2 linked regions of the Arabidopsis thaliana genome follow. The protein of the gene in region 1 interacts with the protein of each later gene in a pairwise test. Each region holds a gene or a part of one and is shown on either strand. Other genes may lie near its edges.

Region 1 (9,830 bases):
GAATCAATGCCTTGTGGCAGTGGAGGAAAATAAAAACTCTACCGCGTAAAAGAATATATTATAGCATAACACAAGTATGTATATATATTACAAGAAACATGAGGGCATAATCCAAAATTGAAAAAGAAAGAAAAAATCTACTTGTTCAATCATTTGTTTAATGAAATATATATGAAAAACAAAAGTGAGATGATTGATGGATACCCATTAACCAGAAAGCTTAAAAAGTCTGAAACTTTACGAGAAAAAATAAAAGATTTAAAAATTTGCATTACACAATGTACAAAGGAAAAGGAATTACATATTTTATTTTAGGGTTCTTGGATTTGAGAAATCTGAGAGCACTGAGTGTAATGATGATGCGTAAGAAACATAAGTGACCAAGCTGGATTTTCATGTGGAGCATGCAGCAATAAACCAAAAAAGACTTTGATCTTTTCTCTATCTCCTTTCAACGCTTCTTTCATTACTCTGCCCTCTCTTGTTTGCCACTGTTGCTTTTTGTCCAGCAAAATTGGCTGACGATATCAAGCCCACTTATTTCACCTATTTCTCATTTTCTTCATGGTATATAGATTTTAAAAAAATGTACTGCGATTATTAGAGTATGTTTTAAAGCATCTGATAAGATGTAAATTTGCATGAAATTATTTGACCAGATCATCTAGTCTACTATTTTGCATTAATGTAGTTGTTGTGTTCAAATTATAGAAATAAAGAGACGAATATCAAGTGAACACTGAACAACGAACATGGTTACATTACATGTATATGCGTAATGATTGTCTTTTGTCTCCCCTTTTCTATTATACCACAAAGATCTTCATAGATTTTACGAAATGATTACTAATCTTCCGACATGATTAATTATTAATCATCCGTGAAGAAATATCAACTGCTAATAAGTTGGCTACTTGATTTCTAATTCATATTAATTGGCAATATTAGAGTAATTTATGATTATATAGATTACTTTTACAGAAATGTTATTTTATGATTTTAAATGTAATTTTTCGAAATTATTTCTCTGTTTTTGGGAAGTAATGATATTTTTCTTTTGCTTCTTATTAAAACTTCAACAGTTTTAAATATATTAGAAGCTGAAGATTCAATAGTATGTTAGAAAATTATAAATATATAAGAAATAAAAAAAATTATTCGCCGTGAAAACTGTTTAACAATGCTTAGTCTAAGCAAATGATATATTTGATTGTTGACATTACTTGCAAGTTTTTAGTAGTGAGTAATGACGGCATCAGATTACATAAACTTTTAACAAAGGTCAACAACTTTTGCGTTTTTTTTTATAACTTGTTTTAGCTTTTGGCTAGTCAACTCTTTTAGTGACCCACCGATTTCATTAAAATTGGTGGTGAATAGTCAACCCAAATTAGAAAAAATGGTTGATAAATTATTTCTTATTAATTGACACAAAACAAGACAATAGATGCTTTCAGCACTACAATGTTAGTTTGCTAATTTGTGGATTAAAAAGTATATAGCGTTTGTTCGTTCGTGTGATGAAGGGCTATTAAAATCCATTAAAAGTTTGTTTAATAAAAGGTTAACCCATTAAAGGTTTATGCAACTTTAATATGACTTGCATAAATCCCATCGATTAGAGAATATGTACTCTTAAACTTATAAATAAATTTTCTTTTCTGCCGAGGAAATAGTAAAGAATTCTAATAGCATGTCTGCAGATTAAAACAATGTCTTCCTTGTTATATATTTTTCTCGTACTATTTTTTTCGAGCTAGCGAGCACATCGAAAAGAAGTACTATTCGTGCCATTCTTTATATTTGGTTAAGGTTATTAGCGATCACTGAAATGTGTCTCTGCCAATTAATTTTAAACTATTTAGACACGAGAAAAAAAAAATACCAACATGATTATTTTACTCTAATATAGAAGTTGAATTGATGAATATAATACTTCCAAAGAAGGGTATTTTCTTTCTACATAATACAAGATACGAGATGCCTTCGTGACTTCGTCTGTAATTCTGTATACAAAAATAGATTGCATAGGTTTTTCTTAGTGTGTGAGATATATTCATAGGTATACATTTCATTATCACTTTATACTGATTTCAACCTTAATAAGTTAATTTAATCAACTCACTAAAGTATATATTGTTCATTTATCTGTAAATTATCCGGTAAAAAAAAGTATTATCAAGTAGCAACTAGCAAGTGAGTGAGTTAAAGGAGTGAAGGATGAAATGTCCCGTAGCTGTATGGATAAACATTGAAATATGTTAATATATACTTTAGAGAAATTAGTCATATTGCATTGATCTTTTTGTGCAAGCAATTTACAAGTTTTTTTAGTATTTTAATTGGGAGACAAGTGGTATTTGATATCGCGCTAATACTCTCTACTTTGCATGAATTTTCAGCAGTGGATGTTTTAACTTTTAAATAAGATCAGCGTTACCTAGAAATTTGAAAAATAAAGACTTTTTTCATTGCAAAATAAGGTTAATGTTGAATTTATATTAGTTAGTTACTTAGTTTTTATGTCTCATTCTTCAAAATTATCAGCAAATTATAATTTATTTCTGGTATTCTTAATAGTTCTGGTTAAACTAAAAACTAAAGATGATAATTTTGAAAAGAATACTCTTTCTTCTTTTTCCGTATGTTACATTTTGAAGAAATATATACGACATAATATTTGTAACTTTCTCAGAATTCGACAAAAATTCTGATGCGGCAGCTACATTAGAACTCGGAGAGACACATGGATGGATGATCAGCATATCATATATGTAAAGGAAGTTTGGTATACCATATATAAAAATATGTGTCGTGACCCAAAACGAAAACTTAAGTATGAACACCGAAGAGAAAAAAGTATATTAAACACGTGTATATTAGTCAGCTAATACTACGTGTTTATTTAACTATTTTGTTAAACACACAAGCGGAGACGGTGTAAAGTCGTGACATTAGTTCTAAACCGATAATATGATTAGTTGTACTTATATCTAACTTCACACAATCACACTAGACATACATCAAATTATGTTTTAAAATATATGTATATATGTTGAGGTAGAAAACCCAGATGTATGTATATATGCTGATATGCATCATGCATGCGTGTTTGAAAAAGGAGAGATATATTTACCAAATAAAAATGTTTGAAAACGAGAGGATTTGTAATGAGGGCAAGCTGTGTCGAACATTAGAGAATAATTGTATGTTTGGTGATTTGTCTTAAGTAGAAACAGAATATTGAACTCGGACGTTCTTTTTCTTTAGAGTTGTATTTGTTTATTTTAATGACTCCTCCTTTTAAGAATTGTTTGGAATATATTCCTCGGGTAAATTCCGACAACGCTATACTACTTTGTTTATCTTTATTATCATCTATTTTATAGCTTGTTAGGTTTTGCTTTGGTTTCACACGGTGGTACGTTCGCAAAGAGAAACAAAATACTATAATTTGAATCTCTGCTTGGTCATGTAAGTATGAACAAATATTGATATGAGAATGAGAAAATCAAAGGTACATGACATAAATAGCTAAATAACGCAATTTTGAAATAGTAACGACATGCATGCATGATTTCGTTTCCAATATCAAGTAAAATTTGGTCTTAAAAGTTGTTAACCTTCAATTCTATATATATAATTTGTTAACCTTTGAGGAAAATAAAAAATCGAAAGACGTTAGGACAGGATCGAAAGACACCTGCGCGGAGGAGTAAAAGCGGCTCGATGTATTACAGACCTCCACCGTTTTATTTTTCTTTTTGTAAACAATAAATTAAGGAAAGTAAAATTAGGTGCATTGTATGAATAATTAGTGTTTAACCAATCAACAAAGAAGGTTTGAAGAAAATTGGAATTTCTATAATCTATTGAATTATATGACCGTTCACAAGGAATCAAGGACACGATCAAAACGTCCCTATATGAAAAGACATCGAACCATAAAAATAAATAAAAGGTGAATCATATAATAAGCAAAAGCCAAGAATGATTCTGATTCTGATTCAAGAGTGTTACAAAAATAAAAACAACGGTCATAAGAGTTTTGGCACTTGGGAAACTCTGATGCCGAGTCTTGTTCTAAAAAGATCAAAAAACATTTTCAACTGTGTTTCACCAAAACGGTAGATATTTTGTTTTATTCCATTCATAAAATTTTTAAAGATATGAAAATGTGCAAATAAAAAAAGAAAAATTTGCGGCAAGGGAGAGGCCGGAATCAGTGGTGGTGCTCATCGTCTTCGTCACCGTGACCATCCGGAGGACCACCAGGACCAACCACTTCCAGCTGCAAGCATACATTATTCAACCAATTCAATATTCTGAATTCGAAAGCTTAATGAGTTCTTGCTCTAATCCTTTGACAGATTCGTCTGGCCTATGACTATGAAATGAGAGGCTAGGTCGATTTATTTACTGAGTAGAGTATCTGATACGACTTTCACTTACCTCAAAGTACTGAGTGCAAACCGGGCATTCAAAGGACTTTCCTTTCTCCAGCCAGAACCAGACAACATCGTGCTCGTCCTCTGCAGTTTTCAGGAGAAAGTTAGATTGGTAAATAATGTGTCTTGATATATTCAATGACAACAACGATTGCCGATTAAAGATTGTCCATAATATGCGACTAAAGTTTGAAGAAGGGAAGAACTTACCGCCTTCACCACCAGGGCAGCCCACAATTCGCTTGTCATAGTAGGACTTCACAATAGCAGGAGCTTCCTAAGGCAATACAAAATGACATCCAAATTTGTGTATCAAGAAAATGAAAAAATAAGTATCCAATTGTGTAGCCAAAAGAAAATGAATACTGCTCACTCAAAAGATAAAATGACACAAGAAAATGAAAAAATCAAATGTCTTGTCATAGCATGCAAAACAGTCATATACTCCTACATATCTTCAGTAATTTGGAGCAAGTTTTTTATGGATGTTAAGAACTGAATTTCCATGATCTACAGACACTTGCACATGTTGTATGTGACATCCGCAATCTTTTCGTCATTATCGTGCACAAAAGCATCATAGGCAGTGAGCCACCGTAAATTAACAAACACAGCTTAGAGTTAATTTTAATTCACCAAAACCAATATATGATTCAACCCCAAGCTAGTGCTTGATTGAAGGAAATATACTAATTACATTATTCACAAAAAAAAATAAAAATCCAGAAATATGACCAGTGTAATATCAAGATGATTTAGCTCCAAAACGACATAACAAAGTGATTGCTGCATGATATAGTAATCCTGCTAAAGCAATATTATGAACCATAGCAAAGAATGCAAGTTGATCGATATAAGTCAGTAAACCAGCTGGACTCATATTAGTTTTGAAGAAGCAATAAGTTTCAAGATACATACTTATTCTAGTTAATTGAGATCATTGAAACAGCTACATTTATCATAAAGCCATTCATAATACTCGAGCTAAGTTAAGTGTCCTTGGTTTGTTTCACGTATGCCCGTGTGTTAGTGATGAACATAAGAACTATATCATGCCTAGAAACACTGATGACTTTGCAGTAAAAAACAAGGTTAAGATATTCAAAGAGGAGTCACGACATATCTCTGGTAAAAGAAACTTATCTAACCTTAGTTCCAAAAGGACCTTCAGGGAAGTCAATATCATCCAGCCTCCTTCCCTATCACAAGAAAACAATGAAAAAGTCAAAATCAAATTTTCCTCAACTGAAGTGTATTATCAAGCAGAAATATACACTCCATTGGCATTGCTATACCAGAAAATTATCGAGAAGTGAAGTCATGATCACAAACACAATTGTAATCATACTCAGATCTTAAAATTGCAATACATAAAGTAAACATAAGCAATCACCTCAAGTTCAGCTTCAAGCTCTTCCTTCTCGTGTCCAGTCGCAATGGGCATTACATCCTCCACCTTCTTCGTCGCAGGAGTCTCTACTGCAAAATACAATCCGTAATAAACAATCATTCACCTTCCAATTGAGAAGATGAAAACAAAATTGCAGCAACACCAATCTAAGAGACCAACACAGATTTAAGTCTATCCTCTAATATGCGATGAAGAAAACATAGTGAATCGAATCTAATTCCAGCGCAGGTAAGAGTCCTGAGCCGAGATCTGAAAATGCGTAAACTATAGCAACGATGAATCACCTGAATCGGAGCTGAAACGACGAGGGATAACGAAAGAAGATGCGGAAATGGCTGATCGATTGGCGGCGAGATAGAAACCGACAGGTCTGGTGGTGGCGGCTATCGATCGACGAGGAGAAGCAGCGACGACATCGGCGGCTAGGGTTTTGAGCTGAGAGGAGACGATTCTTCTCCACATGGTGATGATGATGAGTCAAAGGAATTTCGAGTGAGATTGTTTTGTGTTGTGATTCTCAGGTCACACCTTGAAGGATTAGCGAAGAAACTCCCCAAATGTTTTATTCTTCCTCAGTGATGATTCTTCTTTGGGAAGAGATTAGAGAGATTCTTAATTTAGAATTGGTCACTTTTTTACTTGGAATCTCGATATTAACCGGTACGTGTGAAACTACATAGTACACACGTGTCAGGGGACCCTATATTGTGTGACATTTCAAGTGGAATTAGTGATACAAGTGGAAATAATGATACAATGATGCATATACTACAAAATGAAATTATGATGAAATGGACATGTAAGGATTATTTTTTCCTCAGTCCAGTTATGCACACAGGCACAAGCAAGTTGCTTTAGTTAGCAACCAAATTCATGTTCCTCGAACCTCGTTGAGAATTCCACAATTCAAAACTTCAAATGTAATACCTGATGGTTTTGGTTTTCTTTCTACTTCTGTCTGTAGCTAGAGGTAATGTTAGCATAAAAAAAATCGTGGTATAGTAGTTTGTGTGTAGAATGTATATATATGTCCATTGAACAAAACATATGAACGATAAAGACGTACACAATTAATAGTTTCTTTCATTATTATCTTATACTCATATCCTCAATAAAATTCTAGATGAATTATTTTTCTCATAGATAAAAAAAATCTACTCGATGTCTCCAAATATGAAGTTTTCCGTTAGTACGACACTAGCGTGAAAAGTTTGCATCCTCATCTTTTTGGTTCAACATTTGGGTTTTTTCTTATGCGGGCTTGCTTCACCAATTGGGTCTTTTGGGCTTTATAACGTTTTATCTTCTCTTGCAACTAAAACAGAAATCCCTAGTGTTGCTAATGTGATACGAATCTGCCAAATAGGAAAAAGCCCAAAAATTGAATTCAAAATAACGAAGGAAATCAGTCAATCACTTAGCTCTAATTATTTTAGTTATTACTTATTAGATACAATAAAATATATAATCAATGTTTTGTTAGTTAGTTTTTCTCTGCACATTATTTATGGCTGATGAAACATGCAATAATAGTATAATACCATGAGTCTTAAAAGACTTATATGCGTTCAGCATTCGTAAATCTAACAAAAACTCCTATTCCATGCAAATGATCACATCATATACATGCATTTACCTTTACATTTTGCCGTTTGATAAAAGAAGACTGACATTTTGTTACGAGTTCGAAATACGTTGAAAGAGATATAGTCAAATATCACCGACGATTATTCCTGATTTAAGAATATTCCATAATAGTTGAACTCTATTTTCCAATGAGTACACGTCATTTTGGATATTGTCAAAGCGACAAGTCACACAAGCAATGTAAAATCCAAACAAAAATATCCTAATCAACAAATAATTAAAGCGAAAAGTGAAGACGAAGACATTTGACAATTGGCAACGCTGCTCCACGCCTTCAATCTTATCCATCTCCTAAATTTTTTTATAATCCAGTGCTCTCATCTCCACCGTACTTATCGTAGTGCACAACGCATTTACCGTTGCACACTCTTTCCGAAAATACCCTTACGTTGATAAAAACCAGTGAAACGAACATTCCACACTATAAAAAACCACACCGCATAGCAGCTGATTCCACCTAAATATCTACATATCCATTTTCTTTTCTTAATCCAAAAATTTACAAATCCTTAATCTTTCTCTTCTTCCTAAAAACAGCTTTGAGCTTTCTCTCAGATAACCACATTTTACCTAACAATGGCTACAATCATCTCCTGCTCCGCTCTTTCCTCGATCCGAGCATCTTCCGAATCGGATCCAGCCCGTAAGAAACCTGTTTCGTCGGTTTCATGGTGGGCTCCTCTTTTTGGCATGTCATCGGAACCTGATTACGTCAACAAAACCGTGAATCTGGAATCAGATCTGGATAAAGCTGAAAAGAGGTCTCTGCGATGTTGTCTCACGGAGGAGAAGGCTAAGCAGCTGCGGAGGAAAACCGCCGAAGCTTCTACATTCCACGACGTTATGTACCATTCTGCGATCGCGTCGCGACTCGCGTCTGACGTTCGGGTCAAGAAGTAACTGGATCGGGTCACGGATCCAGAAATAATCAATAATTCGTCGAACTTAAAATGTCTCTCTTTTATGGGATGAAGAATAACTTTTTGTTTACGATGATACTCAAGAACCGCTTTATTGTGCGGCGTCGTTTTCTGTTTGTACGGTCTGGATCGTGTATGATGTTGCTTTATTGTGAACCGTTGGATCATTAGTTAGTTTAGCTTTTTATTTGTTGTCAGTTGTTAATGCTTTTTTTTTTTTTCCTCAGTTGTTAATGCTAACTGTTGGATCGGTAGATATGTTCAACACGTATAAAGATTAAAATGTTAGTATACAAATATAATTACGATTGCAATCTCAAATATATGAAGTAAATTTTCTTAATTTCACTAATCATGGATACTAATAAGCACTAAATGTTGGATAATTGAACACATCGCCCAAATGATGTTGCTCCTTAGTAATGACGTGGCCTAAATATAACCGTTGATAATAACCTATTCCCTTCTTTTATCTTACGCTGATTACCGCGCAAATTAGCAAACACAGAGTTGAAGAAGCGTATATTAACCACATCTTCGTCTTAAGAAACCTTCTCTCGCGCTTTTCAAAGGCGCGAATTTCTCAAAAGAAACTTCTATAGAAATCTCAAACATATTCATGCAACGATTCTGCGTCTGTTCACCTTCAAGTTATCGTCTCAATCCCATAACATCAATGGCTACTGGATCCGGTTCACTGATTTGGTTCCGGAAAGGTCTCCGGGTTCACGACAACCCGGCTCTTGAATACGCCTCAAAAGGTTCTGAATTTATGTATCCGGTTTTTGTTATCGACCCGCATTATATGGAGTCAGACCCATCTGCGTTCTCTCCCGGTTCGTCTCGCGCCGGGGTAAACCGGATCCGGTTCTTGCTTGAGAGTCTCAAGGATCTCGATTCTAGCCTGAAGAAACTTGGTTCACGGTTGCTTGTTTTTAAAGGTGAACCTGGCGAAGTACTAGTTCGTTGCTTGCAAGAGGTAATGTAGTGTTTCTTATTCGACAGTGTGTTTAAAAGCTGTGAAATTGGTTTACTGTAGACATAGAAATCTGAAATGTTATGAATGGGGTTTTTGGCAGTGGAAGGTGAAGAGGCTTTGCTTTGAATATGATACAGATCCGTATTATCAAGCTTTAGATGTTAAGGTTAAGGTAAAATTCGTTTCATTACGCCTTAAAGTTTTGATCTTGCTTACCACTGATTGAACTATGCGTGTCATTGAGATTTTAGCTAACTCAAGTGCATTTTTATAATCTCTATAGGATTATGCTTCTTCAACTGGAGTTGAGGTTTTCTCTCCAGTGAGCCATACTCTGTTCAATCCCGCACACATTATAGAGAAAGTAAGTGGTAGTGTTAACCGAGTTAGTTTAGATGTTTCATTTATGGAACTGTAATATTTAT
Region 2 (9,071 bases), on another chromosome or scaffold:
ATTTCTTTATAAAAAGATCCTTGTTTCATTTGATTTGCACATAAAAAAAAGAAGTTTATTTTACTATAACTCTTTTAATTATCTTCACATACATTTTTGTTTAAATTTTTATACATTTAGAAAAATGGATTTCAACAAACATAATTTGTTTGTATTTTATAATTATTTTAACTTAAATTTATTTGATAAGTGTTATTAATATGTAATTTGAAACATAAAAAATATGAGATAAAAATAGTGGGTTAAAATGTTGAATATTATTAAACAAACCATTGTAAATGTTAAAAATTAAACAGATGTTGAATAATTAGCTGGGAAAAAAAATAAAAAATAATATGGAGTGTTAAAAGCAAATAAATAAGAGTGCTTAAAAAACAAACTAATATACATAGTCTTAGGCTGTAAATTCATTTTAAAAATTCCACAATATAAGTTATTTATACCTACAATTATTAATACAGAGTCTAGAAATGTATGAGTCTTTCACACATACTTTTCAACGTGTAATCCGTACGGACGCGATTTCTTCTGTTTTCTTTTGTGTTGAAACACGATTTCTTCTCTTCTTTCTCCTTATCTTTTAAGGAATGGCGTAACGTTTTGTGTCTTTTTCCATCTTAATCTGCTTTCTCGACAAAGAAAAGCAGAGAAAGAGAGACTTGTTATACTAAACTCAATCTCTGGCTTTTAGTTTTGTTGTCTCTCTCCTTCAGTTTCCAGGAAAAAATCTCTTTCTCATTAAGCTGTTATATAGATCTGTGTTCATACTCTTCTTCCACAATCTAACCCAAAAAAAAAAAAACTTTATTTCTCTCTACAAATTTCATTTGTTCCATTTTCTCAATTTTAGAACTTAAGAAACCCAAAAAGCAAATTTTTAGTACATTTTCTGGTTTAACTAAAGTAATTAATTTTTGTGTTTTCCATCAAAATTCCACTGGTTTTCTTTAGAATTTTTTTATCTCTCTTTAAGACATGAACTGTCTGTTCTTGTTCAAATCAAAGAAACCCAGAAAGCAACAGAAAGACAACAACAAGAACAAAAGAAAAGGTAAAGAGTTGTTACAAAACTCAGCTCCAGAACTGACGAATCGGAGTGAAACGTCTTCGTTTAATCTCCAGACACCAAGATCGTTGCCTTCTCCAAGAAGTATCAAAGATTTGTATACAGAGAGAGAACAAAATCTTAGGGTTTTTTCTTACGAAGAACTCAGTAAAGCCACTTATGTGTTTAGCAGAAAGCTTGTGATCGGTGAAGGTGGATTTGGTATTGTTTATAAAGGAAAGATTCTCAGCAATGGAGATTCTTCTGATCCTCCACTTGTCGTTGCCATCAAGAAACTCAATCGACAAGGTTTACAGGTAAAAAGTTAATCTTCTCTCTGCTTTGTTGCTAATATAATCATTAGAAGATAAATTAACCAATTAATTGAAGCTAAGAAGTTGAAATAGAAGATTAGATTGATGCAATTATGAAGCAAAATCAAATTTTGTCACTTGTTTGAAGTAAAGTTGAAGAAATTTCGTAATCTTGATATAAAGATTTAGTGGAATGGTCAAATGGAAAAGTAAGTATGAGTCAATGGATGCATTTATTAAGTCAACTTTGTTGCTTTAGTAATATTCCTTTCTCTGTGTTTGAATGGTGTATTAGGGTCACAAGCAATGGCTAGCAGAGGTTCAGTTTCTTGGAGTAGTGAATCATCCGAACGTTGTGAAGCTCATAGGTTATTGCTCGGAAGACGGCGAGACCGGGATCGAGAGGCTTTTGGTTTATGAGTACATGTCGAATCGAAGTTTAGAAGACCATCTCTTCCCTCGTCGATCACACACATTACCGTGGAAAAAAAGACTCGAGATCATGCTTGGTGCTGCTGAAGGATTGACTTATTTACATGATCTTAAGGTAAAATTTCGAAACCCATTAGAGGAAATCTGGTTTTAGACAGACCCTTTTTATTGTTCTTGATATTTTCGGACAGGCACAATGTTAAACATTAAGTTATATTAAATGTGGTCATAGAGACATGATTAGTAGTTTAGGATCGAGACTTCTGTGAACCGGGGATGTGTGTTTAGTGTTTAGATTGGAAGATAATTTCCTATTTATTTGGTTGACAGGTGATATATAGAGATTTCAAATCCTCTAATGTGCTTTTAGACGATCAATTCTGTCCAAAATTATCGGACTTTGGGCTTGCCAGAGAAGGACCTGATGGCGACAATACTCATGTCACTACCGCAGTAAGTTTGGTTTGATATATAAATGTGCATTTTATAAGCTCACTCGTACTTTAAAGTGATGAATCTGTTACAAAGTTTTAACAGTTCTTCTTCTTTCTATGTATAGAGAGTTGGAACACACGGCTATGCGGCTCCGGAATACGTGCAAACAGGTCATCTTCGGTTAAAGAGCGACGTCTATAGCTTCGGTGTTGTGCTCTACGAGATCATAACCGGACGCAGAACCATTGAGAGGAACAAGCCAGTGGCTGAACGAAGGCTATTGGATTGGGTCAAAGAGTATCCTGCTGATAGTCAACGTTTCAGCATGATCGTTGACCCTCGGTTACGCAACAATTATCCAGCTGCTGGAGCTAGGAGTTTGGCTAAATTGGCTGATCTTTGCCTGAAAAAGAACGATAAAGAGCGACCTACGATGGAAATTGTAGTGGAAAGATTGAAAAAGATTATCGAAGAATCGGATAGTGAAGATTATCCGATGGCTACGACTACGACCAAGGAAAGTAGTCAGGTAAGGAGGAGACAAGTTGCAAAACCTGAGAAACAAAGTTTGAGAGGGGTTAGTGTCAGAGGATGATTTTGAGTTTAGAAGTTTTTTTGCAAGTTTATATATTATAAATAAGTTTATGCAATTTGTTGGTTTATTGTGAGATTAGTAGAGAAAATGTATCTTATTGTGTGTTTTGTAAATAAAATTCAATACGGTGAATGAGAATCATTGAGATCAAGTTTTATGAGAGTGTTTTGATGTTGATAGCGTAACGTTTTAGCCAAAGTTTTCTATGTACGAATGCAAATGCAATGTTGTTGTTTGGAATTTATCATGAAAACTTTATACGTTTTAAGCATTATTACATTCTACAAATCTTATTTTAATATATATATATATATATTTATACTTCAATTTATTTGAGTTTCTGGTCCACTGATAATCAAAAAAGATATCTAATTATTTGTTTCAGAAAATATTGTACTACCGATTTCGTGAAGAAAAAGAAAACTGTACTATCAAAAGCATTTGAAGGAAAAAGATATTTTATACCTTTATTTCCCACTTTTCGCAAGTCACCAAATCTTACCACAAAAAGAATCAATTTCAAACTATTGCTCAATCTTATATCAAATCACAAATACGTCATTTAAACTATATAGCAAGTACTTACCAAAAAAAAAACTATATAGCAAGTTAAAAAAAAATGCTTACTCTTGTTTTCTCGTATAATATTCTCATATTTCAACATATTAAAATTTGATTTAACATCTGTATATCCCTCGAAAGACATTGATACCGAAATCTAAAAACAAAAGAAAAAATATAACTCAAACATGCCATGGACTATTATAATTCACATAGGCATTTACATTTTCTCTTCTCATACTCCCAAAATTTCATGTCAAGAAACTATTTTTTTCTTACAAAAAAAGAAAAGAAAATTAAAGGATCTTTAGCTTCTTCATCTTTTTCCCAAGACTTGAAGCTAAAGTTTTAAAAGATCCTTAAGATCTCGAGAGAAAGAGAGAGGATCCAAAACCAGCTTCATAGCGTTAGATACAATATAGCTTATTTTTTTCTTAACCTAATTAATTATAATAATTCTCAAAGTTCCCAGATATTTTTAATTAAGCAGCAGCAACAGTTCCATTGTGAAAAGCATAATCACGAGATCTAGTTGGTGAAGATTGTTCTTTCCTCCGCATAGCTGATTTCACCGAATGAGACAGATTCTGTTTCTTCTCTTTTGCTTCATCTCTCTCTATCTGTTCTTGTCTACACTCTTCACTGCAAAACGGTGTATCTCCTCTGCAAAAAATTCACAAAATCAAAAACTTCAAATCAGACCCATGAAACAACAAAATTAAAAATATGTTCTGTTCTAGAATTTGTACCAAAAACAGAGGAATTTGAAATCAGACCCATGAATCGTTTAATTGATTAATCAGAAGATTGAAGAAATGGGTATTCGAAAAAAATCAATCCTTTCGTAATAATTTCGACTAAAAATGAGAGAAATTGATAGAAAACAAAAAAAAAACAGATCTGATGTTATAGATCTTAGATGTTACCTGTACATGTAGATGTCTCTGTTATCACCAAGAGGTTTCTTACAGAGGAAACACGAGTCCAAGAAATGAGGTTGTTGAATATCGAATCTGAAATCATGAAATCTTCCAGACACAACAGATCTCGGAGACGAAACAGAGTATTGATTGTAATAATAACTCTGACTGTTCCTAAGACTGTTTAATCTACCGTAAGAGAAACGGCTTGAAGAAACGACACCGTTTTGGGGATTTCCATGGTTATTACTATTATTATTGTTACCAGAAAACCCAGCTTCCATTTCTGATAAAGAAGAAGCCAAATTCTCTTCTTCTTCTTCCTCAATGAAATAAGGCTTTCTCGATGAAAGCTCCATTTTTTTTTTTTCTGGTTTTTAGAGAGAAAGTGAAAGAGAGAGAGGTTTTGTTGTTGATGTGAAGAAAGTGTGAAGTGGGATTTTATAGCAAAAGATCTTTTTTTTTTTTTTGGGGTTTAAGAGAGAGAAAGTAAAAACAAGGGGCGAAACTTTGAGAGAGGAGAATCTATTGGCTTTTATGCTATTTTTGAAAGTACAAGAAATCGAAAACCATTTTTGTTGTTTTCCTTTTGAGAAATATACTTTATTGACACATAGAGGAATAATTGATAGAGAGGCGTTACAAAATGGTCTTTTTCGTGACTTACTCGTCCTTCGGTTTTTGAGGAACTTTCGAGAGAGCTAAGTAAAAAAGTTAAATGTTTTTTTTCGACATTCACTTTTTAGTTCAATTATTAACTTTTAATTTTCTTTTTTACTTAGACAACATTATTAAAGTAAAATTATTAACTGATTGTCAATGCAATAATACATGAAGAAGTTGCAAAGTTTGAAAATTTTCGTATGATTAGGAATTACTGTCAAAATTGTTGCATTTTTAACATTATTTTTAAGATATATAGTCGACAAAAAAATTAAGAAAACAATGTAATTATCGTAAATATTTTTTTATGAAATTGATAACTTGTTACTTTACATAATGTGATACAAAAAAAAATTGTTTAAACACACATGAAATCAATAATTATTTATTTATTAATTTCATCTATTTTGGTTTTAGAAATGAAATGATAGAATTTTACTATCTTAGTTATTAATCTCTTGTACAAAAATTATTTTTCTATTAATCATAAATATATCTTATACTAATCAGATTTTTTTAAGTAGTAGTTGGATGGATCCTACTAACAATTTAAAGACAATAATTTCTACAAGCTAATTTTTTAGAGATCAATAAATATATACAGCTATAATTCTACCAGACATTTTAACCACTGTAACTTACGGTGGTGTTACATTGAACAAGTGATCACATCCGTCTAAAGAGAAGTAAACTTTTTCTGAAGGCATTCAAACAAAAGTTTTAAGGTAACAAAAACAAGAAGGAAGCAACAAAATAGCGGCAAGATTGTAATTAACAGAAGTATAAGGGTCACAAATGAAAGTACATAAAACTACATCAGGGTTCCATAAAACAAGGGTCCCACCAGCACTCGAGAGACGTTAAAGAAAATCATGGGGATTCGGGGGAGAGGTGGGCCCTACGCGCGTGGGGTTTTTGGAATAAGCGTTACACCGTAATCACTACACCACTTCTACTACTTGTGTTGTGTTGTGTCTCTCTTCTTCTTATTATATGGCGACAAAATGGTAAGAATATTGTTTTTTACTTAATTTTTTTATTAAATCAAGAATTACAAAATTGTCGTTTTATTTGGTTATGAATTTTCGTGGTGGTGGGTGACGTTTTTGCGAAGACTTTGAGGGAGGTGCTTTGTGAGGTACAACTACAAATAATAGTGGTGCAATGAGGTCGGTGTTTTTCTAATGTTAGAATAGGTGTGTGACTGACTAGTTGTGATTTCGATATTTATGGTAAGTATAGTTTGAATTTCTAATAATAGTGTGGACCTTGTTGAATAGTGGAATCGAAATAACAAATAAGAATTAGTGGAACTCTTGTTTGTATATATTAATTCAATAAATTATGTGATCTATCAATATATGAGAAACAAAGGAAAAAAAAAGTCATTTTATTGTCTATATAATGCAGCTATTTTGTTAAATAAATTATGAAGTTTAGACTTATTTACAATGACTGCCATTTTAATTATTGATTTTTTTCCAGAAATAATTTGATTAACAAACTAAAAATATTCCAAATATATTCCAATCTCATATGTCACGCACATAGTATTCAGCAACTATTTAAAACAATAAATATTTGACAAACAAAAATATAATTGCAATCCCTTAAAATGAACAAAACACACCTAAATACATTCTTTATCTATCCAATAAATCTTTTTTCTCCAAAATTTGAACTAGATTTTGGCAACTATTTAAAACAAATATTTGTTTGACAAACTAAAATACAATTGCAATCCCATAAAATATTTATTTTAATTATATATTTAAATTAGTGGTGTACGGCGGGTTTTTTTTACGGGACGGATTTGGCGAGACGGGTTTGGCAGGATGTTATTTAATAACAATTGTAAACTATAAAATAAAAATAAATAGATTTAATTTGTAAATTTTTATATATACTAATTTAAAAAATAAATTGTCTCTGCGGTATACCGCGGGTTAAAATCTAGTGGGTGAATTAAATTTATATACTTAGAAGAAGTTGAAATTAAAAAAGTAGAAGAGATAATTTAAAAATTAGGTAAATATGAAAGAGAAAAAAAATATAAACCAAAAGTATCTTTCATATTTGGATTAATTACAAAATTGTCATAGTTACAATATGGTTATTATACGGATATATATGCGAAGACGATAACATTATTATTAAAAAGTAACAAAATATTTAGCATATAAAGCAAAAAAGTTGACTTGCGACTTAATAATCATGTAAAAAATACATGAATCAGAATAGTTAGCAGATAACGTATTATCAGAATAACATGATAACAAATATCTCGGTAATACTTATTAGGTTAACATGATAACAAAATATTTATATCAATAAGTTTATAATTATATCATGCTAAGTTATTTTGTATCGTCATAAGTTATAATTTATGTGATATATTTATAGTTACCGTCTTAACTTATTTATTATATCATATAAAAAAATTAACAAGTTACTATAACGTGCAAAATATGAATCTCTTCCAATAAGATTAATATTATCACTACCTCTAGATAAAGTTTTATTTAACTCGGTAATTTAATTGTTAACCAATTTTAAGATGAAAGATAAAAAATGAAAAGGCATAAGAATAATGATGTAATTTTTTTTACTAATGTACTGCATAAGTATTAATATATTGTGTCAGTTAATTTTCTGTTCTTTTATGTATACTTTTTGTAAATATCCTTTCATTAGGATATTTGAAAAGTTTGCATTTTTAAGTTTTAGAAATACGCTTCTTAAAATAGTGATATATTTGGTACGTTACAACGTCCTCAAACGAACTTTAAAGTCCACACCATTAACACCACCGAGTCACCATCACCGTCCCAATTGTTGGTTATACGGTTACACCGCAAAACTGTCATTTATTTCATTTTTGTCAAACAAATATGTTATACTTATATATAGTTATATGCGTGGGTGTGTGTTAATCATTCAAGTAAATATTTGTAGACAGAGATTTTGAAATATTGATTAGCCAACTTTTTTAAACTTGCGGTGTAAATTACCTATGAATGAATACTTTACAAGTTTCGGTAGACTAGCAATTGCCAAAAAAATAAAAGAGTTTGCATACTCAAATTCGTTAAACTATATAAAACAGTATAATAATTTATTGATTGATGGGAATGCAATAAGAGGGGTTTGGAGTGTGATACACCTTACACGAGCAAAGGAATACGTGCAAGCAAATATTTTAACAAGTTGACGTCGCATACTTGCGTAAGGCTCCGATGATACCGAAACCCACTTGTTTGTGTTTCAATCTCCGAACTAAAACCTACCTAATTCTTTTTCAAAAAAAAAACAAAAAAAAACCTACCTAATTATGTTTGTGTACATAAAATATCTATTTCCAAATATTTATAAAATTAATTTTTTAAAAATAAAATTACTTATTTGCCTCCTCATATATTGTTTTGACATATGACTCTTATAATTATTAATTTCGACAAATTCATCAAATATAATTTATTAGTATACAAATCCAATTTATATATCTTTCTTTTACTTATACATTAGTTCTTTTATAAAATAATTTTAATGATGTGTCAAAATATTGTTTATGATGGTAATAGTGTGTCACACTATTCGAACTCAAAACAACATAATCCTAAGAAAAAAACAAAATATCGCTTCTTTACATCGGTTTTTCTATCTTTTTCATAAAATTCATTTTTTATTTTAAGAACATCTCCATCAATAAAAAAAAAATTCAAACAAAAAAATAATTAATATTATAATTTGATTATATGATTTAATTTTTGTTTTGCTTAACAAATTAAATCAATAGTAAGAAATCATGATGAATTATAGAAAATATCTAAAAGAATTTAACATTCTCTTTTTCATTTATATTATTTATATTTTTTTAATTGTTAAAAACTTTCGTGAAAAATTCTCAATCAAAATGGTCTAATCTCTTCTAATTTTCTTTTTTAAAAAATTGTGGTAAAATATTTAATTCTTATTCACTACAGTCTACATGACATGGACTCACCGTCCAAACTCATGAGTATAGGTCCCATTTTTCTGAAGTACCTAGTGACTCTTCCTTTCTCTGCCATTGATTGCCTCGAATTGTTTGCTATTCCGCAGAACCA

What was found.
Region 2: the proteins of AT3G15640 (region 1) and AT5G47060 interact in a two-hybrid assay, tested with the Arabidopsis thaliana proteins (one study listed by BioGRID).

What each region holds. Positions count from the first base shown.
Region 1 is NC_003074.8:5,295,764-5,305,593, reverse strand, and holds AT3G15640 (Rubredoxin-like superfamily protein), read right to left. Parts: upstream 6,604-9,830; 5' UTR 6,322-6,603; coding exon 6,144-6,321; intron 5,928-6,143; coding exon 5,842-5,927; intron 5,648-5,841; coding exon 5,597-5,647; intron 4,726-5,596; coding exon 4,659-4,725; intron 4,533-4,658; coding exon 4,453-4,532; intron 4,292-4,452; coding exon 4,223-4,291; 3' UTR 3,849-4,222; downstream 1-3,848. Other genes in the region: AT3G15635 (uncharacterized protein), read right to left, coding at 7,808-7,889, 8,077-8,198; AT3G15630 (plant/protein), read left to right, coding at 8,083-8,406; UVR3 (DNA photolyase family protein), read left to right, coding at 9,046-9,405, 9,506-9,577, 9,689-9,769. UniProt on the Arabidopsis thaliana protein: This protein is one of the nuclear-coded polypeptide chains of cytochrome c oxidase, the terminal oxidase in mitochondrial electron transport.
Region 2 is NC_003076.8:19,112,433-19,121,503, reverse strand, and holds AT5G47060 (hypothetical protein (DUF581)), read right to left. Parts: upstream 4,720-9,071; 5' UTR 4,662-4,719; coding exon 4,309-4,661; intron 4,046-4,308; coding exon 3,865-4,045; 3' UTR 3,287-3,864; intron 3,040-3,286; downstream 1-3,039. Other genes in the region: AT5G47070 (Protein kinase superfamily protein), read left to right, coding at 976-1,362, 1,655-1,906, 2,122-2,244, 2,351-2,821. UniProt on the Arabidopsis thaliana protein: May act as an adapter to facilitate the interaction of SnRK1 complex with effector proteins, conferring tissue- and stimulus-type specific differences in the SnRK1 regulation pathway.